Linked DNA regions of Lonchura striata. The protein of the gene in region 1 purifies or fractionates together with the protein of each later gene. This does not show direct contact. Links are inferred from orthologs where the notes say so. Each region holds a gene or a part of one and is shown in the gene's direction. Other genes may lie near its edges.

The links.
Region 2: the proteins of SF3A2 (region 1) and SNRPB2 purify together in Homo sapiens (affinity purification with mass spectrometry; 6 studies listed by BioGRID and IntAct, with this or other methods). This does not show direct contact. The link is inferred for Lonchura striata from reciprocal best matches to the Homo sapiens genes SF3A2 and SNRPB2.
Region 3: the proteins of SF3A2 (region 1) and RBM17 purify together in Homo sapiens (affinity purification with mass spectrometry; 4 studies listed by BioGRID and IntAct, counting the BioPlex papers as one, with this or other methods). This does not show direct contact. The link is inferred for Lonchura striata from reciprocal best matches to the Homo sapiens genes SF3A2 and RBM17.
Region 4: the proteins of SF3A2 (region 1) and CHERP purify together in Homo sapiens (affinity purification with mass spectrometry; 3 studies listed by BioGRID, with this or other methods). This does not show direct contact. The link is inferred for Lonchura striata from reciprocal best matches to the Homo sapiens genes SF3A2 and CHERP.

Annotation. Positions count from the first base shown.
Region 1 is NC_134630.1:2,945,554-2,952,594, forward strand, and holds the start of SF3A2 (splicing factor 3A subunit 2), read left to right. Parts: upstream 1-4,039; 5' UTR 4,040-4,149; intron 4,150-4,840; exon of another isoform or gene 4,841-4,860; intron 4,861-5,870; 5' UTR 5,871-5,913; coding exon 5,914-6,039; intron 6,040-7,041. Other genes in the region: PLEKHJ1 (pleckstrin homology domain-containing family J member 1), read right to left, coding at 1,491-1,557, 2,530-2,597, 3,651-3,744. UniProt on the Homo sapiens protein: Component of the 17S U2 SnRNP complex of the spliceosome, a large ribonucleoprotein complex that removes introns from transcribed pre-mRNAs.
Region 2 is NC_134605.1:3,353,046-3,360,218, reverse strand, and holds the start of SNRPB2 (U2 small nuclear ribonucleoprotein B''), read left to right. Parts: upstream 1-4,154; 5' UTR 4,155-4,221; intron 4,222-4,502; 5' UTR 4,503-4,514; coding exon 4,515-4,578; intron 4,579-5,736; coding exon 5,737-5,909; intron 5,910-6,415; coding exon 6,416-6,556; intron 6,557-6,968; coding exon 6,969-7,019; intron 7,020-7,173. UniProt on the Homo sapiens protein: Involved in pre-mRNA splicing as component of the spliceosome. Associated with sn-RNP U2, where it contributes to the binding of stem loop IV of U2 snRNA.
Region 3 is NC_134607.1:69,612,646-69,620,561, reverse strand, and holds the start of RBM17 (splicing factor 45), read left to right. Parts: upstream 1-4,900; 5' UTR 4,901-4,970; intron 4,971-6,114; 5' UTR 6,115-6,132; coding exon 6,133-6,255; intron 6,256-7,352; coding exon 7,353-7,469; intron 7,470-7,916. UniProt on the Homo sapiens protein: Splice factor that binds to the single-stranded 3'AG at the exon/intron border and promotes its utilization in the second catalytic step. Involved in the regulation of alternative splicing and the utilization of cryptic splice sites.
Region 4 is NC_134630.1:4,531,897-4,539,586, forward strand, and holds the start of CHERP (calcium homeostasis endoplasmic reticulum protein), read left to right. Parts: upstream 1-4,672; 5' UTR 4,673-4,745; coding exon 4,746-4,770; intron 4,771-4,858; coding exon 4,859-5,032; intron 5,033-6,549; coding exon 6,550-6,731; intron 6,732-7,512; coding exon 7,513-7,650; intron 7,651-7,690. Other genes in the region: phospholipid-transporting ATPase ABCA7, read right to left, coding at 77-170, 286-351. UniProt on the Homo sapiens protein: Involved in calcium homeostasis, growth and proliferation.

The DNA of each region.
Region 1 (7,041 bases):
TTCCCAGCTTACAGCAGCCAGAGACCTTGGGAAGAGCAGCTTCCCAAACTGAGGGTGAATTGAACTGGACCACACGGCCAGATCCAGGACTGACTCCCTGAGGCCCCTTGCAAAGACACCAGGAATTTAAATCCAAGTGGGAACAGCCCTGAGAGAGGAACTGGGATACCTGCAGGGAGCAGCCAACAGAGGAGTTAAACTGCACTGGGAGAAGGCCCTGAGCTGCCTTTGCTGGAAGCTTTTGGGAACGTGGTATTCACATGGTACTCCCACCATGGAGAGCAGGTCCTGGTGCCACTCCAGTTCTTGACCAGGACAGAGCCAGGACATGCCACCAGTTCCTGTCCCCAAAGCTCTGCTGAGCAGACCCTCAGGGCTGCTGCTGCCAAGCACCTGGGTCAGGCTGCACCAGCACCTCGGGATGGGCTGTGGACACATCCCAACACCAGGTACCGCTGGGTTTAACCCTGCTCAGGAATCCTCCTCCACCAGAGCTCCCAAAATCCCTAAAGCCCCAAAATCCAGCACATGGTGCTCCAGGCTCAGTGTGTTCAGGCAGTTTGTGGGTCCTTTGGAAGCACAGAGCAGAACCACAGCTGTGCCTGGCAGCCAGGCCAAAAGATACAGGGATGGCCTTGGAGAAACATCCTGTTATTGTGGCCACATACCTCTGGCAGAGGGGAGAGCTGCGGGATGAAAGGCTGCTCCCAGGGGAGCTGGCCCAGCTGCCGCTGCACAAGGACGCACAGAGGGGAGGATGGGGCTGGAGCAGCTTTATCTGAGCCTCTCTAGGGTGTTTTTTGGATAAAATGCAGCAGCACAGAGCAGATCTGTCAATAACCAAGCTCCCCCTGCCAGAGATTCCACAGGCAGGCAGTGGGGCCTGGCTGCTCTTAGTGCTGCTCTGCACGTGCAGCTGTGCAAGTCCCTCAGGCTGTGCCATGGAATATCCCTGAGCTTTCCTCGGGATGGCCACAGGCACAGTGAGGAACAGCTGGCACCTGAGGAGGGGAAAGGTTGAGGAATTGGTAAAGTTGGAAATGGCCTTTAAGACCATCAAGTCCAACCATCAGCTCAGCACCACCAGGTTCACCACTCACCCCTGTCCCCAGGTGCCACATCCACAGATCTCCTGAACACTCCCAGGGATGGGGACTCCACCACTGCCCTGGGCAGTCCGTGCCAGTACTTCCAAACCTTTTTGGTGAGTAAATTTTCCCCAGTATCCAATCTAAACCTGTCCTGGGCACAACTGGAGGACATTTCTTCTTGTCTTGTCCTCTGTTCCCTGGGAGCAGAGCCTGACCCCCACCTGAAGGGCCCTGACCCCACTGAGGGAGAGGAGAAGGGCTGGGGGCAGTGACCCCACTGAGGAGGGGAAGGGCTGAGCTGACCCCACTGCACCAGGGAAACAGGGGAAAGCAGAACTGAGCATTCAGCATTCCCTTTCCCACCAGGGGAAGGCAAAGGGGTGCACAGGCAGCACTCACTGATGGAGAAGACGTTCTCCTCCTCTTTGGTGATCTTGCAGTGCTCCAGCAGCAGAGCTCCAATGGGCTGAAAACACATGGAGAGAAGGTTTAACCCACAGGGGCCCCAACACCACGAGGGCTCAACCCACGGTACTTCCCTGGAGCCTTTTAAGCAACTTTCACAAGCTGGTGCTGCTTTTGAATAATTCATTCTGATTGCACCATATTTCATGTTCCTTTAATCACCTTTTCATGCCAGTCTCACCTGCAACACTTTGCATTTGTTAATTAGGTGTCAATCATCTCTACTGGCTCAGTTTCAGCCTGGTCTTAACCACTCTGTGATACCAGAGAAAAACATTTGCTTTTAAAATCAAAGATGAAACATTTACTGTGACACCCAGAATAACCAACACTGAGCTATGCAAGGGCTGTCCTGGAGCCTTGCAAGTGTGAGCAGAGCTGCAGCAGCTGAGGATGACCAAAAAACCACCTGGTACTACTCAGGGACACGGGGACAGCAGGTGACATTGGCCATGAACAAAAGCAACCACAAGAAATCCTTGTCCAAGTGAACCAACATGTCAGAAGCAAATCAGGCAGCAGGGAAGGGATTGCAGACCTGATTTATCTTGCATTTCATACAACTCTTTGGGTTGGAAGAGATCTCAAAGCCCATCCAGTGCCACTCCTGCCATGGCAGGGACACCTTCCACCATCCCAGGCTGCTCCAAGCCCTGTCCAGCCTGGCCTTGGGCACTGCCAGGGATCCAGGGTGGGCACCCTGTGCCAGGGCCTGCCCACCCTGCCAGGAACAATTCCTGCCCAATCTCCCATCCAGCCCTGCCCTCTGGCACTGGGAGCCATTCCCTGTGTCCTGTCCCTCCAGGCCTTGTCCCCAGTCCCTCTCCAGCTCTCCTGGAGCCCTGCTGAACTGATGGAAGGTGGACCCTGCTCCAGCTCTGCCATGCACCATTTTCCCAGCCCACACAATCCAGGCATAGAAAAAGAAGAAAGGAGGAGGGGAACAAACCCCACGCAGAGGCCCAATCCCTACCTCAGCCTCATCGGTGCGGAAGTAGAAGAGAAAGTTCACCACGAGCTTCACCAGGCGCTTCTTCAGCACTGCAGGGGCACAAGGGAGCAGGGCAGGGCTGAGGCAGGGGCACGGGGAGCAGGGGAGCCCTGCCCACCCTGCCAGGGCCCAGCGTGGCGCTGACCCCACCAAGGCACCCCCCGAGGCTGCTCCCTCAGGGTGACAGTGTCTGAGTGGCCTCAGGGTGACAAAGCCCCTGAGCAGCTCCCGGGCAGTCAGAGCTCACAGCAGCAGCACCACGGGGCTCCAGGCACTCCAGGAAAAGCTCCGGATCCTGGGAGCCCTGCCTGGAGCTGCCAGCACGGGCGTCACCCCCACGGGACAAAGTCCAGCAGGTGCTCAGAGGACGAAAGGCTCAGGACAAGGGAGTGAGCACAACACTGCTTGTTTGCAGGGGAATTTTCTAGGAGATTTCAGGGAAGACCTTCTTCCCCAGATCCCCTGGAAATGGGGGATCTCCCTGGCCCCAGCCCAGCCCCAGAACCTCCCTGCACGCCCATACTGGAGCCCAGCACTCGTGCTCCCCACTGCCACACTCCAGCCCTCCCAGCCTGCCTGTCCCCAGCCCTGCCTCCCAGCACTCCCAGTCCTGCCCTGGTTTCCCAGCCTGGATTCTCCAGTACCCTCAATCCTCCCACCCAGCTCCCCCAGACCCTCTCCAGCCTCTTCCCCCAGCAGCTCCAGTTCTGATTCTGCAGTCGGGGCCCCTCAAGTACCCTCAGCCCTTCCCTGGTCCTACCCCAGTTTCCCACTCGTGATTCTCCAGTTCCCCCAGCCCCACCACCCACGGCACCTTCCCAGTCCCTCCCAGTATCCCCAGTCCCGACTCTGCCCCCCAGGTACCGCCGGTCCTGTCCCACCTTCCCCTGCCTCCCCCAGCACTCCCAGTTCGCCCAGTCCCGGCTCGGAGCCGCCCCAGTTTCCCCAGTATCCTCAGCCCCACCGCCGCAGCTCCCCTCGCACACCGCTCCCGCTGTCCCAGCCCTGCCTCCCCGCTCGGGGCCCCTCAGGCAGCGCCGATCCCCCCGCGCTCCCGCCCCGGTACCCCAGCCCCGGCTGCGCCCCGCGCGGATCCCGCTCACCGCTGCCCTTCTTGGGGACACTCATGCGGATCTCGGCCGCTTTCTCGGCCGGCTGCCGGGCCAGGGACAGCAGCTCCCGCTCGTTGTAGCGCATGGCGGGCCCCGGCCCCGGCCACGGCCCCGCCCGGGCCGCCCCAGCGCCGCCGGAAGCGCCCTCAGAGCGCCCGGAACGGCTCCGGGGCCGGAACGGCTTCGGAGCCCGGAACGGCCTCGGCGGGCCGGAACGGCTTCGGGGCCCGGAACGGCTTCAGAGCCCGGAACGGCTTCGGAGCCCGGAACGGCCTCGGCGGGCCCGGAACGGCTCCAGGGCCCGGAACGGCTTCGGGGCCGGAACGGCTTCGGGGCCCGGAACGGCTTCGGGGCCGGAACGGCTCCAGGGCCCGGAACGGCTTCGGCGGGCCCGGAACGGCTTCGGAGCCGGAACGGCCTCGGCGGGCCGGAAACACCGCGGAGCCGCGGGAGCGCGCAGGCGCCGGGGCGGGAGCGCGGCCGCGCGCAGGTTCGGAGCGGGGAGAGACCCTGAGGGGAGAGGGGGGAGAGGGGAGCTGAGGGGAGAGGGGCCATGAGGGGAGAGGGGGACTGAAGAGGGGCCGTGAGGGGAGAGGGGGAACTGAGGGGAGAGGGGGACTGAGGGGGAACGGGGCAGGACTGGGGGAACTGGGGAGTCGGGGCTGGGCAACTGGGAGTGCTGCGTGAGGAGAGACTGGGAGAGCTGGAAGAGAGGGACTGGGAATGCTGGGTATGGAGAGACTGGGAGAGCTGGGAAGCAGGAATTGAGAACTGGGTGAGGAAGGACTGGAGAGCTGGGAAAGGAGGGATTGCAAAAGCTGGGAGAGAAGAGACTGGGAGAACTGGGAAAGGAGGAACTGGAAATGCTGGGTGAGGAGGGACTGGAAAGCTGGGAAAGAGGGACTGGAAATGCTGGGTATGGAGAGACTGGGAGAGCTGGGTATGGAGAGATGTGGAATGCTGGGTGAAGGGGAATTGAGAGAACTGGGTGAGGAGGGACTGGGAGTGCTGGGTGAGGAGGATTCAGAGAACTGGGGGAGAAGAGACTGGGAGATCTGGGTATGGAGAGACTAGGAGAGCTTGGTGAGGAGGAATTGAGAGAACTGGGTGAAGAAGGACTGGGAGTTTGGAGTATGGAGAGACTTGGCATGCTGAGTGAGGAGGGACTGGAGAGCTGGGAAGGAGGGACTGGGAGAGCTGGGTAAGGAAGAATTGAGAGAACTGGGTGAGGAGGGACTGGGAGTGCTGGGTGGTCTGGGTGGTGAGGCTGGGGGAACTGGAGAATCACGAGTGGGAAACCAGGGTAGCACCAGGGCAGGATTTGGGTTACTGGGAGGATCAGCGGGGCAGGAACGGAGGCACCTGGAGGTTGCCGAATGCAGAACTGGGATGGAGCTACTGGAAAAGTACTGGGGAAACTGGGTGCCCTGGGTGGGAGGACTGGGGGTGCTGGAGAAACTGAGGGTGCTGGAAATGGAGGGACTAGGAGAACTGGGGTGGTGGGGCTGGGGGAGCTGGAGAATCACGAGTGGGAAACTGGGGTAGGGCCAGGGGAGTGTGGGGAGGATGGGGAAGAGCACCTGAGTGGGAGTCAGTGGGCCTTGACTGGCTGAATCAGGACTGAAGCTACAGGGGGATGTGGCTGGAGAGGGACTGGGGACGAGACACTGGAGAACTGGGTGCTCTGTGGGGAAGGATTTGGGGTTCCTCAAAGGTCTTTCCAGTGTTTGGGCTCCCTGTGGGGAGGTCTAGGCAGGGCTCTGACCTTGCTGAGGGCAGGGGGGACTCCAGGACCTCACCTGGGGCTTGGGGACATTGCTCAGAACCCCTGACCTTGTTGGGGGGCTTGGGGGGCTCTGACCCTCCCTTGGTGTTGGGGGTGGCCCTGGGGCTTTGGGGGTGGTGGGGGAGCATAGACCTGGTGGTGGTCAGGGAGGAGCTCTGGGGCTGTTGGTACCTCAGGTGAGGGGGGAAGGCTCCTCTGGTGGGGCCCAGCTGGGCTTGGAGTGGCTGAGGTGATGGGAAGGGCTCCGGGGGGATTTTCTGGATCCGTACTCGGCTTTCCCAGGTCGGTGGTGCCGGATGTGCTCCATGTGGGATTGCATCCCGTGCTGTGTGCCTGGGGCATGCCTGGGTGTCACCCCCACCCTCGCTGCTGCGGCTGAAGAGTCCTGTGGCTCAGTTGTCCCTGACACTCCTTCCTCTTGGCAGACTCCATTTCTCCAGGAGGAGCTGAAGCCCAGAAATCCCCAGCATGGATTTCCAGCACCGGCCCGGGGGTAAAACGGGCAGCGGGGGCGTGGCCTCGGCCTCCGAGAGCAACCGGGACCGGCGGGAGCGGCTGCGGCAGCTGGCCCTGGAGACCATCGACATCAACAAGGTGCAGGGGAGCCCCCGCAGCCCGGGGGACACCGGGCACAGTCACATTCATGGCATCCTGCAGTGCTTTGGGTTGAAGGGAGCATTAAAGCTCATCCAGGGACATCTCAGGTTTCTCCAAGCCCTGTCCAGCCTAGACTTGGACACTTCCAGGGATCCAGGGGCAGCCACAGCTGCTCTGGGAAATCCATGCCAGCTGCCCACCCTCACAGCCAAGAATTTTTCCCCAGTCTCCCATCTAAACCTACTCTTGGTCTCTTTGAAGCCATTTCCCTTTGTCCTGTCCTTCCAGGCCCTTTTCCAAAGTTTTCCTCTGTCGGTATAGGACACATGAAAGCATGACACAAGCTGCTACTATTGCAAAGGTGAAAAAGAAAGAGTTTATTTTCTGACTCCAGCATTTATACTTTTTTAAAGGTAACAGTGGATTGGAGGGTGCAAGTGCCACCTCTCCAATGACATTGGACAAACTACTAGTACATCAAGTTTCTCCACCTCTATGAAGGAATGCAGAACAATAAGTTGTTTACAGAAAGTTGTGTGAGAAAGTTCTCTAACAGAATGGAAACTCAGAAGGCTTTAGAAAATCTTAAGAATCAGGGCGACATTCCTCCAGTTCTCTTGGAGCCCCTTTAGGCTTTATGGTCACCCCAGAGCCTCCTTGTTTCCAGGCTGAGGTGTGGATTGGGTTTAAATACATCTGTTTCTGGGCATGTGGGGGTTGAATAAGGAATATTTAGGACAGAGTGACAAGGAGGTGCCAGCTCTTGTGTATCCATCTATTTCCAGTCTCCCCAGGGCTGGTTTGGGTTGTGGTGTTTCCTGCTACAGTTGGGAATTCTGTCACCACTGCACACATAGCTGCTGTTGGTTCTCTCTTGTTTCCTCCTCCTAAACCTCTCTTGTGCTGTTAATTTAAAATCTGAACTCAGCTACAGGATCCTAGGGTATCCTGAGCTGGGAGGGACCCTCAGGGATCATCAGTCCAGCTTCTGTCCCTGCA
Region 2 (7,173 bases), on another chromosome or scaffold:
CAATCAAGGCCATGAAGCTGTGAAGCTTCCACCATAAACAGCTCTTGGCTATTCATACCTCAGAGAGTTTTGTTGAATTTAGAGAAGGAAGATGAAGAAAAAAGACACCCTTGATTTTTATTACAGGTTTCATAATAAACAGCAGCAATAACAATGAAATGCTGGGTTTCCTTCACCTTAAGCAAAGGGCAGAAGAGAGAAAGTGGTGGCTGCACAGATATTTTAAAGAACCCTGTGCCCTTTGTTTAGTTTCTCCAGAGTTGTTTGGTAGCCTCTGATAAAGCTGGTACCTGTCCAAGCTGAAAGTGTGTTCCCAGCCCATTTTATGGGTGATGAATCATAATTGGTTATTAAGGTGCTGCAGCTACTCTTTCTAAGAAATTTGAAGTAATTTTTACAATATTTCTAGCATTTAGGGACTTTTAAATAAACAACATAAATGACCATTTGAATGCATATGAGAGTACTATACCTCTGTTTGGGGGTCAAGGAAACAGAAGTAATTCAAATGAACCTTAGGGAATTGAGGAGGAAGTCAACCTGAGGAATGAATGTCCCTTTTATTGAACTGGCAGTCAGGCTGTGAAATCCCATCTGAGGTGCTGGAAAGATGCATTTTTTCAGCCTTATTGCATTCCAATAGTGCAAGAGTAAATCAGCTGTCCTTAAAGTGACTCTGAGCAAATGTAAGTGTGGCATGCTGTGCTGGATAAAATATAGAAGCCATTAATTTTTCCATACTTTGTGTAAAGTTGACAGGGTTTTTTGTGTTTGTTTTTCAGAATGTCTTCTCTATGGGCAGTTAAAGGACTTAATTTTAAAAAGAATTTATAAAATGTCAAGATTTTTGATTCTGTGAGACCAGGTCTTTTATCTACGTTGACTCAGTAACAAATAAGCACTTTTGAACATTGATAATAAATTATAGTTACATGGACTGTACTGCTGATGCCAGCCTTTCCAAAAAAGAAATTTTAATGTATTGTTCAGACTTGGATTTGAAAGCTGTACTTTATCTTAACAACTAACTCAAAGGCAATTAACAAAGAAAAATAAATAGAACCCTAAAACTTGATCAGAACTCCTGCCTTTCACATTCTGAATCTGTCATGTGTATGCATTTCATAAGGCATCCCCTGGCACAACACTTCCCACACCATGTTCTGCTGTAAACAACTGCAGTACACACTGTTTCCTTCCACCAGTGAATGACACCTCAGTCAACAGCTTATTTGCCTTTGGCTATTATTTTTGAATCCCTTTAATCCATGTTTTTCTTTATATACTTCCTACATACTCTGGGATCTGGAATAATGGTTTTTTGTTTTTTTTTTTTTTTTCCCTGAAATATTACTGAACCAAGAACTCTGCCTAATATTCCTGCTTCTTTACAAAGAGTTGGCCTGCCCCAATATAATTTATAGCTTCAGCAAAAATTAATTTATTGATTACGAAGTATTTCCCCTGCAAGAACTCCTTTTTTATATGCATACCATTGCAACTTCAAATTGTTTCTGAAAAAAGCCTGCCTAATAATTCCTAGAAATGAGGGCATGCAGCCTGCAAAATTATTCCAAAAATTCAAGGGCTGCAACCTCAATCTCTGCAGTTTATTTGTGCTGAGACAGCACTGCCAGAGGGATTTTCAAAGTACTTTCAAGAAATTCCATTCAAAAAAACACACTGCCTTTTCAATATTGGAACAAAAACCAAATATTGCCTACTGAATGTTTACATTTTGAAGTTTCTGCATTCTCCCATCTAGCTCTGTGATCTTCACCCAGCACAGGAAGGACATGGACTTGTGGGGAGAGTCCAGAGAAGGGACAAAATTGTGGTTTGCAGGATGGAGGTTGTCTGCTATGAGGCGAGGCTGAGGGAAGTGGGATTGTGTGAAAAATGCATATTAAATTATTGGCGCTCTTCGCAAATATTATAATGAATACTATATGTGCTATGTTGGGAAGTTACTTTGTAGTACTGTATTAATCCTTTTTAAGTAGTGTGGTTAATAGAGTTATAGATTATAACATAATGTTATAGTAGAAACTATGTGATGTAAGATATTTTTTGACTAGCTCAAGAAAGGGATGAGATTATCAAGAAATTCTTTGCACAGAGGTAACAGCAACAAGACACCTAAGAGTTACTGCCTCCTTATTGGAAAAGATAAACATCCTTCCACCTCTTCTCAGTCTTTAAGGAGGATTAAGGGGAAGAAGTTGACAATAACCAGAGAACACCCTTTGTTTGAAAAGTATTTATGCATCAGGTATGAGATATATGAATATCCAACAGGCTGTTGCTTTTAAGGGTTAATCCTTTGTTAGCGAGCCATGCTTTCAAGAGGAAAGCATCCAGACATCTGTAATTCTTTGCTTTTTATTGTCCTAACTCTGATTGTCCTAACTGCTCTAATTTTTATTATTAATTTATAAATATTTTATTACTATTAAACTTTTAAAATTTTAAAACAAGAGATGGGTGTTTTTCACAGATTGCTTAGCCAGGAGAGGAGGCTCTGCTGTGACCTAACTGTGGCCTTTCAGAAAGGGCCTAATTTATAAGGAGAGGTTTAATAAATGAAGCCTTATTTCTAAGGAGAAATCTGGAGAGCAATATTTTACAGAGTTATGGAGTGATAGGACAAGGGGGGATGGATTCAAACTGAAAGAGGACAGGTTGAGACTGGATATTGGGAAGAAATACTTCACTGTGAGGGTGGTGGGGTTGTCCAGAGAAGCTGTGCCATGGGTATTCATGGCTGGGTTGTGTGAAAAACACCAATCACTTGGCTTTTAAAAGTTTAATAATAATAAAATGGTTATAAAAACAGTAATACTATTAGAGTAATAAAATGTAGAGTTAGGACAATTACAAGGCAATAAAAACCAAACACTTACAGACGTCTGGATGCTCTCGGGCACTTAAGCCATGACAAGCATGTCTTGTGAACAAAGGAATCACCCTTAAAAATCATACTCATAAAAATAAAAATCATACTTTCATATTCAGGCAGACTTCATGTTTATGCATACATTCTATTTAAAATAGGAAACTCTGTCTGGAATGTGTCACCTGCTTCTTCTTATCCCCACAGTGTCTTCAAGTCTGAGCAAGGCCTGAAGAAATTAGAAAAGAGAACCATGAATTCCTCTTTTCTGGAAGATTTGGGTGTTCTGTGATTGTTCTCTCAAAGTGAGTATCACGTTCTCTTAAAAAAAAACCCCCACATACATAGTTTCTATTTTAACTACAAAACTACATTTACCATACTATTAAAATGTAAATACAGCACTTCTAATCAATATAACATATATATAGTATAGTATACCATAATATAGCATTCAAAGTAATATTTTATATCTATTATAAATATATTATTATATTATTATATATACTGTTACATATATTAATATATTAATATATTATATAATTATAAATTAATATATATTATATTAGTATATAAATTAATATATATTATATTAGTATATAAATTATTATACTATTATATATAATTATATATAATGTTATATATATATATTATTCACATATAATACATTATTCAAATTAATATTTATGAAAAGCCAATCCTAAAATAGGCATTATTCACAGTCTAGTGGAAGCTGTCCATGTCCATGGCAGGTTGGTTTTACTAGATGACCTTTAAGGTTCTTCCAACCCAAACCATTCCATGCTTTCCCAAGCTGCTGCTCTGGGCGCTGCAAAGAGACAAAAGAAGAAAAAAAAAAAAAAACAAAAAAAAAAAAAAAAAAAAAAAAAAACAAAAAAAAAAACCACGAAAAAGCAAATTGAACCTGACAAAACCAAAACCAAGCAAAAAAAAAAAAAAAAAAAAAAAAAGATGAAAAAAACTAAAAAAAAAAAAAAACCCAACAAAAAAACAAACAAAAAAAAACCCAAACCACACTTATTTTCGCTTATTTCTCTATTAGAACAGGACAGAGCCAAACCTGGGGCAAGAAACGCCCATTTCAGCCGAAAACAACCTTTTATCCCTTTTTATCCCATCAGGCTTTTATCCCCTTTCCTCCCTAACGCCGCCGCTCCCCATCGGCGCTCTCGGCGATCGGCCATCGGCGGCTCCGCGATCGGCCATCGGCGGCTCCGCGATCGGCTCTGCGGCCTGCGCTGCGTGCCGGCGGGCGGGACGCGCCTGAGGGCGGGACGCGCCGGCCGCCATCGAGCGGGAGCGCCGCGGTGAGGGGCGCTCAGGGCCGGGGGCCGGGGGGGTGCAGGGAGGGCCTGGATCGGGGTTCCCTCTCTGCAGTTCCCGTCTTGCAGTGTCGCAGCCGTCTTCAGCACGGAAAGAGCCGGGTCGGGGCGGACGTACGGACGGACACGCTGCCCCCCCACTCGCGGTGCCGCTCCCCGGGGCTCTGAGGTGCAGCTCCCCGGGGATGTGAGGTGCAGCTCCTCGGGGATATGAGGTGCCGCTGCCCGGAATTCTCTGACGCCTCTCCCGTGTGCTCTGCCCGCAGGTGCTGCTGAGAATGGACATCAGGCCGAACCACACCATCTACATCAACAACATCAATGACAAGATCAAGAAGGAAGGTACGAGTGGCTGCCGGTCGCCTCTGGTTGTCCAACACGGCACTTGTCTTACAAAAGGGATTTTAGGAGCTCCCCGACGTCTCTGAATTGCTGAGCAGGAGTTGGTCGTGAGCTGAGCTCTAGGCAAACGCCTTGTTGTAATGAAACAGCAGCAAAGCAAATAATTGCACTTCCCACTAGATCAGGTTGCTGAGGTCTCCCTACAGCCCAGTCTTGAATGCTTTTAGGGATGGGGAGTGCTCTCTGGGAAACCTGTTCCAACACCTCACCACCCTGACAGTAAAGGCTATTTTCCCAATATCACATCTAAGCCTCCTCTCAGTTTGAAGCCATTCCCCCTTGTCCTGTTGCTCCAAACCCTTGTAAATAGTCCTTTTCCATCTTGTAGGCTCCCTTCAGGTACTGAAAGGCCAAAGTTAGATCACTCCTAAGACTTCTCTTTTCCAGGCTGAACAACCCCAAATCTCTCAGCCTTTCCTCACGGGAGAGGTGCAATAGTTCAAATGTAAGGTTTTTGTGTTTGAATGATTACACAATACAGATTATTTATTTACCTTGATTTGGATAGTGTTAAGGTTTAATTTGGCATGTGTTCAGGTTATTGTAGATAATTGAAGTAAATCCAGTGTAAGCTGCAGTAGTCTCATACAAAAATAATTTGGATCCAGAATACGAAAAAATACTTCATGTGAGTGAGAAAATTGATTAAATGTCCAACTTTAATTAGCCTTTAGGTAGTTACTGTTCTGCTGCATTCTTGTTTTACATCATGTCTCTACTGCTGCTTGTTTCAATTTTGATTTTCTAATCAGTCTGAGATGGCTGTCATTCATCATGCTTGAGTGTGTGTGCATATACCTGTATGAAAATACGTTTTTACATCCCTTTATGTAATTGTTCCTCCCTTGGAATGGCAGAATGGATGGCATTATAACTTCTTCAGTACGTAAATCCTTGAGGTATGAAACCAAATGCTGCACACCAGTTTACAAAACCTGGGCAAATAAATTTGTAATGATGCAACAGTTTTGACAAACTCGTGCACTCACTGTGTGAGCTACAGCTTGTAAAAAACACTGCTCCCAAAGGACAGCAGTCTTGGTAGAAGTGGGGATTTGCCTGTGACCTGCTGTAATCTGTTTTCTCCCTGGTGCCCAGAGCTGAAGAGGTCCCTGTACGCGTTGTTCTCACAGTTCGGTCATGTGGTCGACATTGTGGCTTTAAAGACCATGAAGATGAGAGGACAGGCATTTGTTATATTTAAAGAACTTGGATCATCCACCAATGCTTTGAGACAGCTACAAGGCTTTCCATTTTATGGGAAACCAATGGTAAGTTGTTTTTGTAAGATACTTGCCTTTTCTGTTTGAGAAGTTTGGGTTTTGCTGAATTTACATTTCTGCAGAGATCTTGGAAATCACTGTCAAATTTTAACTCCCTTTAAAATGGGACTGAAAACTGGCAGTTTTAATAGAAGCTAGTTCTGATTTTCTCAGATGTCCTCTGTGTAGCTCAAATGAATCTCCCTGTAGGTGCTACCTTGGCAGATGTTAAAAAGATGTTAGATAAATGGAGTTCCAATTTCAATGAACTAAAGTTAATAATTTCCATATTAGGGTTTTTTTTTAGACTTCTGTATTTGTGTTCAGAAAAAACTGAGAATTGTTTACTTCATAAGTGTACCTACATTTTATAACAATGTTTTTAATATAAAAGGTTTCTGCAAAAACAAAAAGGGTGTAAATACAGAGTTAATGTACGTGGTGCAAACTGTTCAGTATTAGTGACTGCAGAATATACTCTGTTTTTATTTTTTTTATTTTTTTCTTTTAAAAAGCGTATTCAGTATGCAAAAACAGACTCTGATATAATCTCTAAAATGCGTGGGACTTTTGCTGATAAGGAAAAAAGAAAGGAAAAGAAGAAAGCCAAAACTCTGGAACAGTCAGCAAATGCACCAAATAAAAAAGTTATCCAGGTAAGCTGCTTCTCTGTTCAGAAAAAAAACCAACCAAAAAACCCCAAATAAACAAACAAACCCCCCCCCCCCAAAAAAAAAAAAAAAAAAACAAAGAAAGAAAACCACAAAAAAACACACAAAAAAGCTATTCTAAATAATTTTTTAGGATTTGATGTTGTCTTTTGTTACTTTTCAATTCCCTAATTTGGGGTCTGTTGACTATCTGGAGCTCTTGAGCATTTACTAGAAGTAGAAGGAGAGGGGGCTGGTTATATAGTCCTTGCTGTTCATTCTTTTTTCTTGTTTGCTGTTGCCACATACAAGTAAAGATGTAGGGCAAAGGTACAACAAACCAAAGTAGAAACTAGCGTCTTAAGAAAAGGAAAAAAAAGGAGCATCTTTGTAAAACTATTTTGTGCTTATTTGCTAGGGTGCAACACAGAATTCAGCCAGTGCCCCAGGGACTACACCACAGAATCAGGTAATGTTTATTATTTTTATCACTAAAAGCACTAATGTTTTTAATTATTATCTATTAATAATATTTTGTTACACATGGGAACTTGAGGATATATTTTACAGCTTTGTTTTTGTCCTATGAGACATTTGACTAACAGCTACATGACAGTAAACAG
Region 3 (7,916 bases), on another chromosome or scaffold:
AGAAGAAAGAATATTTCCAATGCCTTTCTGTTTTCAATTCCTTCAGGTTGCTACTCCTTGAAGTTTGGGATTTGGTTGTTTGTTTTTTTTTTATGGCAGCAAACCTAAGCTGATTTTCCCAAGCCAGGACAAGTTTTCCTCTGGGACTTTCCTCATCATATTTGATTTTGCCCAGTGGGCAAAGCTGAAGATCACTGGGAGGACAGCAGCAAGCATTTTCTGGGAAAAAAAAAAAAAAAAAAAAAAAAAAAAAAAAAAAAAAAAAAAAAATCCAGAAAGGTTTGGAGGTTCTGCCAGGGTCACCAAAAAAAGTGTGGTGTGTAGCAGGGTTGGTTCTCTGCTTGGGATCTCCACCATTGGCTGGAAACCACCAATTAATGGGATTTTGAACAGGTTGACATTGCTCTGATCAGCCCTCATGTTTTGCTTTTGTGCCACGTGCTGATCCCCACCATTTCCCACCTGTGTGAGTGGGAGCTGCTCTGTTGTCCCCATCCTCAGAGGTTCTGAAGGGTGGTTTCTCACAGCCACCCCAGAAAACTCCAGTTAGGTTGCCATGCACTGCCCTCTAATGCCATTTCGGCATATTAGCACCCCTCACCCTCAGAGGAGATCTGCAACATAAAACAAATCATCCACATCCACCAAAAACTGCTATCAATGCTTTAGGGAAATGAGACATAAATGAGACATTTAATGGCTGCTTTTTCCCCATCCCAGCACTGCTTTATTTTACACATTCTTAAAGATCACCATCAGGGAGAAAAATGAGAACTCCCTATTTACCTTTTCTGGGCCATTTTGGGTGCTTGATGCTTCCAAGGTCCCCTTCAGCTGCCTGTTTTCACCCAGCACATCTGATTTCTTTATTTTTTACTGCACTGCTGCTTCTTGGAGAGGATGAGATACCCAGGAGTGCAGGTGGCCACTCAAACGTTCATGTGCGTGTTGGATTTATGAGGATACGTTCTCCTTTTTTAAGATTTTAATGCTTCCCAGCAGCCTGTTTGCTTTCCTGCTTCCTTCCTTCACTAAATAGGCATTTCAGGAAAATGGTCCACAATGAATGCAGCATCTCTTTCCTTAATGGAAGCAGCTGATTTAGAGCTGCTGCTGTGTGTGTTTTGTTAGTGCTATTTTGTCTTGTGTGCATTGCTTTGCATTCATTAACAGTGGGCCCCATCTGCTATCTCATCACTGAGCCAGTGCCACGCTATCCTTCTGCAACTTCTTGCTTACAGCTTTTGGCTGATTACTCTGAAAAAAATTGGGATTTGCAGCAGATTTCACCACCTTGGCTGTACACCTTTTCCAGGTGGGCTGTTGGTACAATGAGCAGTTCCAACCAAGGCTGGTGGCTCTTCTCACAGTGGGAAAATCAGTTTATTCACAGCTTTTTGGATCTCCCTATAATTCCTCTCCTCTCCTCTCCTCTCCTCTCCTCTCCTCTCCTCTCCTCTCCTCTCCTCTCCTCTCCTCTCCTCTCCTCTCCTCTCCTCTCCTCTCCTCTCCTCTCCTCTCCTCTCCTCTCCTCTCCTCTCTCCTCTCCTAGTTCAGGAGACCCAGCTGCATCAAACTCATCTCAAAACAATGAGAAAATTGTGAAGCTGGGAGAAAAGGGCTACAAGAAAACATAAAGACAGAGCGACATGAGATTAGAAAGGCAGGTAGAACTGGTGACTCAGCAATCACAAGTGAGATTCAAGAAGAAAAGCACCAGCATAGAAAGGTTTGAAATACGAATGGGAAAATAAAGTAGCTGGAAGATCACGCTTCAACATTTATGAGGGTCTGTAGGAGGCAGAGAGCTGGCCAGTGCTCCCCCACCTTTGCAGATGAAAAGGAGATTTCAGCCACAATTAACCCACCTGCAAGATCTGCAATGCTGGGGATGAGCTCACATATTTCTCCTCCATTTCCAGTCTGTCTGGGACCTTGGCAGCAGGGTGAGGTTTCTTTATCTCCCCAAATTTAATGAGAAGGATTTTCTTGGCTCTTCTGCTTCTAAGTGGGCGTGTACAAATACACTGTGGCTATTATCACAGTGATGGATCAGTTTTGATCCATGCCTACTGCAGTTTCCAGGCTTAACCAAGAGCTGCTTCTCTCCTTGTGAGTTATCTGATTTATGGCTTTAATAGGTAGTTATTTACAGGTCTGATAATTCAGCCTTTACCCTCCCTGTTATGACTTGTTCTGAGGAGGAACCAAAATCTCCCGTTGCTCTCGTGTTTTCCACCTCTGCAGACTCTAATCTCCTTTGAGTTTCTCCCAGTGTCTGTCATGCTGTGATATTGCTCTGACATCTCAATCCACAGGGATTTTTTTCTGTACCTTTTGATGCAATTAATTATTTGATTCCTTCCTTTAACATAGGATACATGGTTCTTTTCTCAGTGGGACTCTTAGGCTGTAAAAGTAGTCCCTTGCTGATTTTATTTTTCTTCCACAAGGTTACAGATGTGTGAATTATATCAATCCTTCCTTTAAAAAATGCAGGCATTGCTAACGCAAAAACCTCAGGAAGATGCTTGGGAGATCCTCTATAAATAAAGTGAAGACAATTTCTTTTTATATTTAAGGAACTTTCACTGTCATGATGAAAATAGACATATATGTAAATGTATTTAGAAGTACTGCGTTAATAGAAAGCAGCATAAGTAGGAGAGGAAGTAGTAGCTTTATTTTATTTATTTTTTCAGCTAACCACAGGGAAATAAACTGCACAGTAGCACAGTCAGAAGCAATGCTGGAGATAAAGACTTTCTGATTAATACAGAGATAGTGCTTGTAATATTTTGAGGTTGAGGTGCCAGGTCTATTTGCTTCAGGGCTGGCGTTTGGCTTTGCAGACAGTCTTGCATGTTCATTTGCTCATCATGTGGTGCAAGTGGCCATAATTCTTAGAAAACTCAGCTCATCTATTTCACATGCTTGGTATGAGCTGGAGACACACCAGTGCAGCGTAAGTAAAAAAGAAAATCCTTTTTTGCCTCTGTCAAAGAGAAGATATTAAATAATTAGTGCAGGATATTGGGCTGGGAAATTGGTATGGTTGGGTAAATTCCAGGTTCAGACAGATGCAGAATTTTAAGGTTTTTAGAAAACAAAGATTGTTTTGGCAGACCAAACAAGTCCACTTCAGGCCCAAATGACATAATGCAGCAAGACCTTCTAATAGCCAAATATTTTGCAATATTTGCAATTACCCAGTGACCTCAGTGACAGTGATGGCACAGCAAAATGACAGCAAACATGCTGGAATAACAGACAGAATTGTTTGAAATTGATGAAGAATAAGTCCTCTGTTCTCGTAACTTTCTCAGTGCTGCCAGAGTCTTCATGAAGAATTTCATGTAATTGTCTCCATTTTCCTGCCCAAAATCTCAGATGCCCTTGGTAGGTAACTAGAAATACTGAACAGCCATGGAGACTGGTTACTCACTGTATAAACTACCACAGATTACTTAAGGAGTTAGAAACACGGTATGGAAAATTGTAACAGAACATCCAGAGCAAACAGTGTTGGGGGTAAATCCAGCCCCTTGGGATGTGCCGTGCCACCCTCCCACTGATTTATTAAAAAAATATGGATATTGATCTAGTACCAATATCCAGCTGTGATGGACAAAAACTCTCAAACAGCTTAAAGTTAGAAAGTGTGTGTTTATTCTACACTGGGATAGCTCCCAAATCCACACCGCAGCTTCCAAGTGATTACAGAGTCTTTTTATCCATACAAGTATTGAATACCCAAAATAAAAATCCATATTCATCATTTTGGTATATCCTATTCCTCTTTTCATATGCTAATCACTCCAAAAGCTGTTAAGCATGCGTGGTTTGTTCCTTGAAATGGGTCGGTGTCCCTTCCATGGGGAGGGGTCCCAAAATGAGGAAGTAAATGAAGTTTTTTCCTCCTTCTGACCTTTCTATCTTTTCAATGCAAATATGACAAATGAACTCTTGGTAGAACTCGCATTCCTTGCCTTCAATTGGTTTCAGAACAGAGGAGCCCCACAATAGTCTTATGTTCCTAAAAGCTATTTTCAGTTTCTATATTCTTCATTATAAACCCAGCTAACTAAACATTGTGCTGACAAACAATCAATTATTAGTTAACTACTAACTCCTAATCAAGGCCTACTCATTTATTTTAATTAACTCTAGTAAGGCTTATCTCTGTGAAAAACGCATATTTATGATTGGCTTTTTCAAATATTACAATAAATATTATATGTGTAATGTTAGGAAGTTATGCTGTATTAATTCTCTTCAGTAGTGTGCAAAATATAGTTTTAGGTTCCAACATAATGTTAAAATAGAGACTATGTACGTGGGGGAAGGTTTTTTAGGAATGAGATACTCGCTTCAAGGAGCACCTAAATCTTCCAAAGGAGAGGAATTTATGGCTTCTTATCAGAAGAAACTAATTTATTCAGGCCTTGCACAGATTTGAAGACACCATGCGGATTAAAGGAACAGTTGATATACAAGAGAGTTCTTGTTTTAAATAGAATGTATGCATAACCATGAAGGATGTATGAATATGCAACAAGTGTATAGGTTTAATGTTATTCCTTTATTCACAAGGGATGCTTTTTGTGATTTAGTGTCCAAGAGTGTCCGAGTGCTTTTTATTGCCTTGTAATTGCCCTAACTCTAAACTTTATTACTCTAATTGCATGATTATTTTTATAACCATTTTATCAGCATTAAACTTTTTAACATTTTAAAACCCAGGTGATTGGCAAGTTTTTCACACCTCTGACTAAAACCTTCGCTGCTCTAAAATCTCGAAATCCCCTCACGTTTCCGTCCCGCCGGCCGAGGGGCGCTGCCGCTCCCTCCTCCCGCCGCCGGGGGGCGCCGGCGCGGCGGCGGCGCGGGGCGCAGTGCGCAGGCGCGGCCCTTCCCGGCGGGCTCAGCGCCGGCTGATGGCGGCGGCGGCGGCGGCGGCGCCGGGACGGGTGAGGGCGGCTCCGGGCCCGGCCGTGTGGGGAGGCGGCTCTGAGCCCTGCTGGGTGTGGGCAGGCAGGGGAAGGCAGGGTAGGGCGGGTGTGCCACGCTCAGCGGCTTCCCAGGGGGCTCCCGGCCTGTGCGGAGTGTGTGTGTGTGGGGGGGGGGTGTCAGGGCCTGCTTCGCCCCCGCTGTTCCCAGATCGCTGCCCACCTTTCCTTTTACTGTGGGGACAGCTCCTGTGACTCGCTGCCTCGTCCCTTCCCCGCGGTGACAGCGCCAGCCCTGCGTCCAGCCAGCTGTCCAGGGTCTGAGCAGGAATGGCTGGGGGGGCTCAGCCTGGAGAAAAGGAGGCTCAGGGGGGAATTTCTCGCTCTCCACAACTCCCTGATAGGGGGGACAGCCGGGTGGGGGTCGGGCTTTGCTCGCACGTAACAAGCGGCAGGACAATAGGAAATGGCATCAAGCTGCGCCAGGCGGGGTTCAGGCTGGATATTAGGAAGAATTTCTTGTCAGAAAAGGTACTTAAGTGTTGGAATAAACTGCCCAGGGAGGTGCTGAAGTCCCCATCCCTGGAGGTGTCCAAGGGAAAAATAGATGCGGCACTGAGTGCTCTGGTCTGGGTGACAAGCTGATCTTCAGTCACAGGTTGGATGATTTCAGAGATTTTTTTTTCCACATTGACTGATTCTGTGATTCCCCAGAATCATGCTGTCTCCTCACTCCCCAGCTGCCAAAATCCCACTGCTCTGTGGCAGGTGGAAATTGCTACAACACCCTGTCCTCATCCTGTGCATCTGTGCCTTTATAACCCCTGCTGTGTTTCATCCCGAGGCCAGATGTTTAATAGTCTTCAAAACCTCCTTTTTCTTTTTGCAGTAAACTTCTTGCTGTTGAGCCCTAATTGTTCATATTCCACTGCAGGATTGAATTAATTCTTGAACAGTTTTCATCACTTTTCAAATTGTTACTTTTGTACAGCATTGCTCTAGTTATGTGTATTTACTACTCACCAGAAAGAAGTGCATTTTCTCTGGCTTTAGGAAAAGTGAAATAAAAGGTGGTGTACCCATGTATGAAACTGTTAGCAAATAACCTGGAATTTGGCTTGTAGTGTCATCTAGAGTTTTTTTTTTCTTTTATTTTGTCTTTCAGTTTTAAATTGAAGAGAAAATGTCACTTTACGATGACTTGGGGGTTGAGACCAGCGATTCTAAAACAGAAGGCTGGTCCAAGAATTTCAAACTGCTGCAGTCGCAGTTGCAGGTGAAGAAAGCAGCTCTCACACAAGCAAAGGTATAGTCCCTTTGTGATTTTTCTTTCTGTTTTTCGTGTTCAGTGCATTGTGTTTGTGACCTCAGAATTTGCTGACATTTGTCTGTGAGTTTGTAGCAGAGAGCCTGACAAAGCTGAAGGGGAAAAAGGAAAAACGTGTATTTCTTGATGTCTCTTAGAGGGGGTGTTGCAAAATTAAAACTGAAGGAAGCACTGATGTATGTGCTGCAAACCTCTGAACTTTTAACAGCAGAGCCAAAAGCTGATCTTCAAGTTTAGCTTTAAAGATAATGAGATTCAGCTTTATAAAAATTTTTTTAATGTAAGTAGGGGTCACACTGTGATTATTTACATGTTTACATCATTTTATGGTTGTTATTGAAAAGCATCTTGGTGCTAACCTGCAAATCATTATGTATTAGAAATTTTACACCAAGTATTTCCAGAGTAGGTGAAAAGGAGGAGTGCAAGCTGATTTTTGTTAGACTGTGACAGAGCCATTTTCTCTTTTTATTGCTTCTTCTTTTCATTTCACCCTTATTCTTTCAGCAGTGTTGATATTTTGATTCAGGCAGGACACAGGTGCTCTTTGAGGCACTGTAGGTTCTGTAGTGAGGTTACTTAATTAAAGGAAGAAGCAGTAGCACTGATGCCAGATACTTGAGTAGCCACAGCATTTTTTTCACTGTAATTACTCGTTATTTATGCTGCAGAAATTGGAAGCAGGATTTAGTTGATAATGGGAACAAACTTCATGGAAGAAATTTACTGACTGCTGTATTAGTTATATTCTTTTTCCATGTACCCGATGTGCAGTGTATCCATAGCCTAACAGAAGAATAAGATAGGATTAGAAAACTCAGTTCAGAAGAGTTTAAAATATTTTATCTGATGATAGATGGGAAGAACAGTAGATCTTTGGAATAAATCTGAGTTTCTTAGAAACTAACTCAGTTCAAACTCACCTGAAGTGATTGGATGAATTTTCCATGTGTGTTTCTGGTCCCAGTGAAAACTTAGGACCATCCACCTGCCACAGCAAAGTCTATCAAGTAAGCCAATTTTTAGAAAACTGCTTTATCTTTTTTAGACATTGTGTGTTTTGTTGATTTTTGCAGAGTCAGAGGACAAAACAAACCACAGTTCTTGCTCCAGTGATTGACCTGAAACGAGGCAGCTCCTCTGATGAGAGACAGATTGTGGACACACCCCCTCATGTAGCAGCTGGGCTAAAGGTAAGACCAGGACAGCTAAAATTTCCAAATGTTTTGGAAGTTGAATGCTTCCTAGTGGTCAAAAAACTGATTATTTTCTGAGAATATCTTCCTCTGCTGAGAGTTCTTTAATTAACATTTCAACATCATTCAGACTTACATGTGCTACAGCATGGAATCACCATAGTTAATGTGCAGTTACAAAACAGTGTTCTTAAAATCCTGGACATCTTCAAATTATTTGGCAAGACAGCAATTTGGGCAGCTAAATAATGACTATAATTGTGTTGGCACCAGTGTTGGAACTGGAAGTGTATAACAATCAACTGAAAAATAAAACAACTAAAGCCTCTAACCTTTTAAATTGATTTCTCATGGTAAGAAATCAAGATAAACTCTCTGCAGCTTTTTCAGAGGAAAAGTTCTGAATGGTTCTTTTAGATTAGAGGAGAACAGTCTGTGTGCTGT
Region 4 (7,690 bases), about 1.6 Mb from region 1:
CCACCCCGAAGGGTTCCCGTACAGGGGCACACAGAGGGGTCTTAGCTGGCTCAGGAGGTCCTGCGGGGACACTCACACTCGTGCTGCTTGAAGGGCGGGTGGGATCGCCGCACTGAGACCAAGATAAGGAAGAGGAAGAGGGGCCACAGGATCTCGATCGCCAGCTGGATCTGCGGGAGAAGCAAGGCTGGTGGGGTCCCGATCCCCATCAGTGCCCGGGGCTCTGCCTGCCCCTGTGCCCGGCACCAGCCGCTCTGGGTAGCCCCAGCCCAATCGCCCACTCACCCGCTGCCGCCGGCGGTAGGTGAAGTTCTTCCAGAGCAGCAGCCCCAGCTGGGTGCCCACGGCCATCGCGGGGGTCGCGGGCCCCGCTCGGCTCCGGCTGCGGGTGGGAGCAGGGGGGGCAGCCCCAAGCTGAGGGCGACGGCTGGGCTCTCGCTTGCTTCTGCTTCGGGGCTTATCACAGCCCGGGCACTGTGCCGGGCACAGGGCTGAGCTCCGGGGCTGGCATTCCGGCAGCAAAGCTCCTTTCCGGAGCTAAAGGCTCAAGTCACATTCTTTCCTAAATCAAAAGCACCAGAATGGGGCACGAGCTCTGCCCAAGAGCCCAATTCACTGCCCACGCCAGGCACAGAGAGCAGTCCGGCACCCCTGGAGTAGCTCCGGACGATGTGGGCAGCCCAGGAGCGGCTGAGACCTGCCCGTGCCTCAGTTTCCCCATGAGAGGGATGTGGGTGGGGCTCTCATCAGCCCAGGAGCGGAATTTCTCCGGTGCAGCGGGCTCGAGGCGCGAGCTCCGACACCCGGATCCCACGGGTAGCACCCACGTCTCTGCCAGTTCCTGGGAATTCACCCACCTCTGGAGCGGGGCCAGCAGCTCCGGGGCCCGGCAGCAAAGTTCTGCCAAGGCGGCTCGGTGACGAGCCCGGTAGCGGCGGCGGCACGACCCAACCCGCAGCGTTCCGCCCGGTGCACCCGCCCACGCCCCGGGAGAACCGAGCTCCGGGGCGGCTCCCTGGGCACCACCACCCCCGCCTTGCCCCTCGCTTTTCCCCGGGGCCGGGGGAGCCGCTCACTCAGCCGCCGCCCCGCGCTCGCCGCCGCCGCCCGCGCCCGGGGCTAAGCCGGGTCCCGGGCGCAGCCGGGATAAACGGGCACGGGGCAGCGGGATTAGGATCCCAGCTGGGAAATCCGCCTAATCGGCCTGCGGGGCCGGACACGAGTGGGTCCGGGGCAGGATTCCTCCGGGGATGCACAAGGGTCAGATGGGGTGACACGGGGAGACAGAAGCAGCTGCCAGGTGGGGGTGACACGGGGAGACAGGTGTCTGAGTGTCCCCAGCCGCTGGAACCGGAGGGTGCTGCGGAACTGCCGGTCCGGGGGAGCCCCAGCCCCGCGGGGGCGGCGGCTCTTTTCGGGACAAACCAACCACAGGATTCCCTGGATCCTCCCGGGGGACTCGCGTGGGAATCTGCTCACTCATCTCACGAGGACAAACACGCAGCATCGCTGCAACCGGGAGCTCGGTGGACCCCGCGACCCCGGCAACCGCCGGACCGACGGCTCCCGGCCCCGGCGCCCTCCGACCCCGCGTCCCCCGGCCCGGTTCGCCCCACTCTGGGCGGGGTGCGGAGTCACCGCGGGGCGGACAGGTCGGGAAGAAGTGGGGACAGCCCGCGAGAGATACACACAACCCAGGGGGGGCATGGGGACAGCTCGAAGGGACCGTGAGGACAGTCCAGAGGGGACATGGGGACAGTTCGGGGCTACGCTGGGGACACGGGAATAGCCTCGGGGAGGGGGGGGCGGGGAGGCACTAAGAGCCTCGGGGGACGCTGAGCGGCCGCATCCAGCCGAGACCCGCAGCCGGGACACAGCCTCCCCTCGTTCTTCTCCCCTCTCGCAGCCCCCGGCCCGGGACCCCCGTTACCTGCTGCTGCTGCGCGGCCCCTTTAAGAGACCCCGCTGCTCCGCCGGGCGCGCGCGGGCCCCGCCCTCCCCGCGCTACAAAGTAGCCGAGGGCGTGACGTCACGGGAGCCGCTCTTAAAGGGGCAAGGACGTGGGGGGGAGTAGGAGCCCCGCCTACCCCACCCCACCCCACCCCATCCCATCCCCATCCCCATCCCATCCCCATCCCCATCCCCATCCCCATCCCATCCCATCCCCATCCCATCCCACCCCACCCCACCCCACCCCATCCCATCCCCATCCCATCCCCATCCCCATCCCCATCCCATCCCGTCCCATCCCGTCCCATCCCATCCCACCCCACCCCACCCCATCCCATCCCCATCCCATCCCCATCCCATCCCCATCCCATCCCCATCCCATCCCCATCCCCACCCCACCCCATCCCATCCCCATCCCATCCCATCCCATCCCCATCCCATCCCCATCCCATCCCGTCCCATCCCATCCCATCCCCATCCCATCCCCATCCCATCCCCATCCCATCCCCATCCCATCCCGTCCCATCCCATCCCATCCCATCCCATCCCGCCCCACCCTTGGGAGCCCGACGGAGGAGCGCGGCTCTTCCCAAAAAAAGCGGATCCTTTCCCGGACAGGCACGTCCCGTCCCGCCGGCGCTGTTCATCACTCATCATTTATCAGCCGCACATCAACTAAGTCCGCAGCCCGCTCCCGGCTCCGCTCCTCCCCTGGGACTCGCAGCATCCCCAGCACTGGCATTTCTGGGGTCTCACCCAGCTCTGCAGCAGCTCGCAGCCCCCCGGGCACAGAGAGAGCCCTGACAAGCAGCCTGCAGCAGAAACCAGCTCCTGCTCATGTCGGAAGGGCTTTTATTTATTTATTTATTTATTAATAAAAGGTTTCAGTCTGAGAGCATCTGCATTAAAAACCGCACGGAGCAGGAGACGTCGCTGCGGCGCTCGGACACCGCCCGGCCAAAGCTGCCAGCATCCCCAGCCCGGGCAGTGCCAAGCGCCTCCGGCAAAGCCGCAGGAAACGGGGTGGTGGCTTTTGTTTTCCATGGAAAAGGGTCGGCGTTCGTGTCCAGGGGGATGTGGTCCCGAGTGGGCTGCGGCCCCGAGTGGGCTGCCACCTCCTAAAATCCCGAATGGCGCAGGGTATTTAACACGCTGCTTAAGAAAATTAATAGAGCATAATTAAACAATCATCACATCTAACAATTACATCATTTATCGTGTACTAGGTACACAGGTGCAGTTCTAGCAAGTACAAGACCTACACTTTACTTTCCCAGGGTATTTTCCCAGCGCCTACTAAGCTTAATTTCCTTTCTAACCCCCAAATCCCTGTGAAAAATGCATATGTTATGATTGGCTTTGCACAAACATCACAATGAATATTATATGCATAATGTTAGAAAGTTATGCTGTATTAATTCTCTTACGTAGTGTGTTAAATATAGTTTTAGGTTCCGACATAATGTTAAAATAGAGACTATGTATGTGGGGAAGTTTTTTTTTAGGAATGAGATACTCGCTTTGAGGAACACCTAAATCTTCCAATAGAAAAGAATTTATGGCTTCATATCAGAAGAAACTAATTTCTTCAGGCCTTACTCAGACTCGAAGACCCCATGGGGATTAAAGGAAACAGCTGACATACAAGAGAGTTTCTTGTTTAGAATAGAATGTATGCATAACCATGAAGGATTTATGAATATGCAACAAGTGTTTTAAGGGTGACTCCTTTGTTCACAAGGGATGCTTTTCTTGACTTAGTGTCTGAGAGCATCCAGACATCCATAATTCTTTGCTTTTTATTGTCTTGTAATTGTCCTAACTCTAAACTGTATTACTCTAATTGTATTACTATTTTTATAACCATTTTATTATTATTAAACTTTTAAAATTTTAAAAACCAAGTGATTGGTGTTTTTCACACACACATAATCATGGGATATGATTCTATGCAGGTGCTTTTATTGAAGAGCTCTGGGAATCAGGGGTACAGACCCAAATCTGACTCTGACACGGCTTTCGAGCTGAACATATTTTATATTCTATCATTATATAACTTACATATTAATTATTACACTTATATTGTTTATAAGTTCTATCGTTATATATTTTCTATTCTATCATTATACAATTTACATATTAAACTTATATTATTCTATTGTATACATTGACTTTATTCAAGCATGAGTTTCTTGTGACCTTTCCCAACCCCCCCGACCAGTTTCTCGTGATTATTCTTACGAATAATTATATAATATATAATTATAATCAAAATATTTATATTTATATTTATATTTATATTTATATTTATATTTATATTTATATTTACATTTATATTTATATTTACATTTATATTTATATTTATAGCTATATTTATATTTATATATATTTATATTTATAGGTTAGTTATAGTTATAGTTAGTTATAGTTATAGTTATAGTTATAGTTAATATAATTAATTACTGTCAAAAACAGCGGTCTGTTTTCCCTGGACCGCTTTTTAAAATAATCATTTTATCATTATTAAACTTTTAAAAAAATGTTTTAAAACCCCAAGCGACCGGCGTTTTTCACATCCCCGCGCTTTAATTTCAAACCCTTTGCAGACGCTCGCCCCTCAGGCCGCGCCGCGCGCGCGCGCCGTCTCCGCGGCGACGCTGCCGTAAAGCGCGGGCGCGCGGGTGTCGCGGCCATGGAGATGCCGCTGCCGTCTCCGCGGCGACGCTGCCGTAAAGCGCGGGCGCGCGGGTGTCGCGGCGCGCGGCGCGGCCCAGCGGGGCCGGGGAGCCGCGGCCATGGAGATGCCGCTGCCGCCCGAGGGTGAGCGGCGATCCGGGGCTCCGGGGGGAGCGGGGGGACAGCGGGGAACGCGGGGAGAGCGGGCAGTGACGGCCGTGCTTCCCCACAGATCAGGAGCTGCGGAATGTCATCGACAAGCTGGCGCAGTTTGTGGCGCGGAACGGGCCCGAGTTCGAGAAGATGACGATGGAGAAGCAGAAGGAGAACCCCAAATTCTCCTTCCTCTTCGGGGGCGATTTCTACGGCTACTACAAGTACAAGCTGGCGCTGGAGCAGCAGCAGCGTGAGTGGGGGCTCTGTGAGTGAGTGAGGGCCTGCGGCTCGGGCAGGGCCGGCTCGGGGCTCGCTGCCGCCCCGGCCGCGGTCCCCGGGGCTCGGCCGCGGTCCCCGGGGCTCGGCCGCGGCTCCGGGGCTCGGCCGCGGTCCCCGGGGCTCGGCCGCGGCTCCGGGGCTCGGCCGCGGTCCCCGGGGCTCGGCCGCGGTCCCCGGGGCTCGGCCGCGGTCCCCGGGGCTCGGCCGCGGTCCCCGGGGCTCGGCCGTGGTTCCGGGGCTCGGCCGCGGTCCCCGGGGCTCGGCCGCGGTCCCCGGGGCTCGGCCGGCCCCAGACGCTTTTGTCTCTCCCCGCTCCGCCGGGACCGCTCTCAGCCTCTGGCTGCTCTCAGGGTTCCCGGGAGGTGGCTCAGCGCTGCCCCGGCTCCTCACGGTCCCGGTGGTGGCTTTGGGGACGGGCAGCGTGGTGGGACGGAGCTCAGCGGGATTTTTTGACCCCCACGGCCAGAGAGAGCAGAGTCCTATTTTAATAAATCATCGCCAAGATGATTTATTAAAAAAAATACGGATATTGATCTAATACTGATATCCAACTGGGACGGACAAAAACTCTCTAACAGTTTAAAGTTAGAAAGTGTGTGTTTATTGTGTGTGGGATCGCTCCCAAATCCACACCGCAGCCTCCAGATGATTACAGAGTCCTTTTAGCCATACAAGTGTTGAATACCCAAAATACAAATACATATTCATCATTTTGGTATATCCCATTCCTCACTTCGTATGCTAATAATTTCAAAAGTTATTCACCATGAGTAGTTTGTTCCTTGAATGGGTCAGTGATCCCTTCCCAAAATGAGGAAGTAAATGAAGTCTTCCTCGTTCTGACCTTTCTACCTTTTCAATGCAAATATGACACATGAACTCTTGGTAGAACTCTCATTTTTTGTCTTCAGTTGGTTTCAGAACAGAGGAGCCCCACAATTGTCTTATGTTCCTAAAAGCTATTTGTCAGTTTGTATATTCTTCATTATAAACCCAGCTAACTAAACATTGTGCTGACAAGCAATCAGTTATTAGTTAACTACTAACTCTTAACTTCATCAAGGCCTACTCATTTATTTTCATTAACTCTAGTAAGGCTTATCTCTAACTAAAATCTTAGCTCCGCTAAAATCTAAATTCCTTAAAATTTACGTTTCAAGCGCCTGCAGAACCAGAGCGGGGCTGGTCCTGCTGTTGTCCCTCTGGAAGGTGCTGGCTCTCCTCTTTGGCACCATCCACCCGTGATTTTGGGTTAAGTGTAGAATCAGAGTGTGCTGAGTTGGAAGGGACCCACCAGGATCAGTGAGTCCAACTCCTGACCCTGCGCAGGACACCCCAATAATCCCACCAAATATCTGAGAGCGTTGTCAAAGCAGCTCTGGAGACCCCTCTCACCCCCTCAGTCTCTTTGGAGCCATTTTCACCCGTGGGCTGGTGGTAGCAGGTTTCTCTGGGAGGTTTACTTTCAAAGTTTGCTCTGTCTGATAGTGTTGTGCAAGCAAAGCCAAGATATCGAGGCTTCGGCACAGATCCAGCCCCTGCCACAGCCATCGCTCCCGCCGGCTGCGCCCATGCCAGCCCCTCAGGGCACCCCTTCTGTGGAGGAGCTCATCCAGCAGAGTCAGTGGAACCTGCAGCAGCAGGAGCAGCATCTCCTGGCTATGAGACAGGTTGGTTTGAGATCAACACTCTCCTGGTGTGTCCTGGCCCGCCAGTGGCTGCAGGAATTAGGAGTGAAGGGGGAGAGGATGGTTTGCTGCTGAGCGGTGCTGGAGGTGAGGAGAAGGGATGTTGCTTTCTTTGTTTTTGTTGCGTGGCAAATGCCATCGTTCCCCTAGAATGGACGTGTCTGGTGTGTAGGTTGGGTTATGATTGCATAGGGGTTATATTATTATGGGATGAGTGATCTGTGATTAGAGCCTTCTATTTGCTCTTTGAAAAATCTTGTTAGTTTTAGAGTGGAATGAATTGTGACTGCTTAAACTTTGGTTTAATGCTGCAGATTGCTGGGAACTGCAAGATGTTCCAGGTTGTAATATTCCCACTTAGATGTGATTAGAGATGGAAGGGAACTGTGTGCTATCAACTAGCTGATTTTTGCAGGAGACATTTAGCTGTTAAAGCTGCTGAAAACCAAACTGAAGAGTTTCTTGTGCCTTGGTTATATTCCTTACCTTTAAGAGCTTCTTGCAATTATTTTTTATTACATGATAGATTTTAGAAGTAGAAGTAAACTGGACTTCTCTGTAAAAATGTGAAGAGTCTTTTCAGAACCATTTCAATTGGAACATTTTCATGAGGTCACAGGGCTTGTAAAGGATGTTGGTCCTTGAGATAGCCCTTAGGTCCAAGAGGATAAGGATACAGCAGCTTCATTCTCTAAAAGAATTTTGGCTATAATGTAATTCTTTCTCTTTCTTGTTTGCTTCTGTTTTGTTTGTTTTTTATCAGGAACAAGTCACATCAGCAGTTGCCCTTGCAATCGAGCAACAAATGCAAAAGGTTTTGGAGGAAACCCAGTTAGATATGAACGAATTTGACAACTTGTTGCAGCCAATAATTGACACTTGCACAAAAGATGCAATCTCAGTAAGTGATCTGAATCTGCACAGGGATTTGGTGGTGCTGT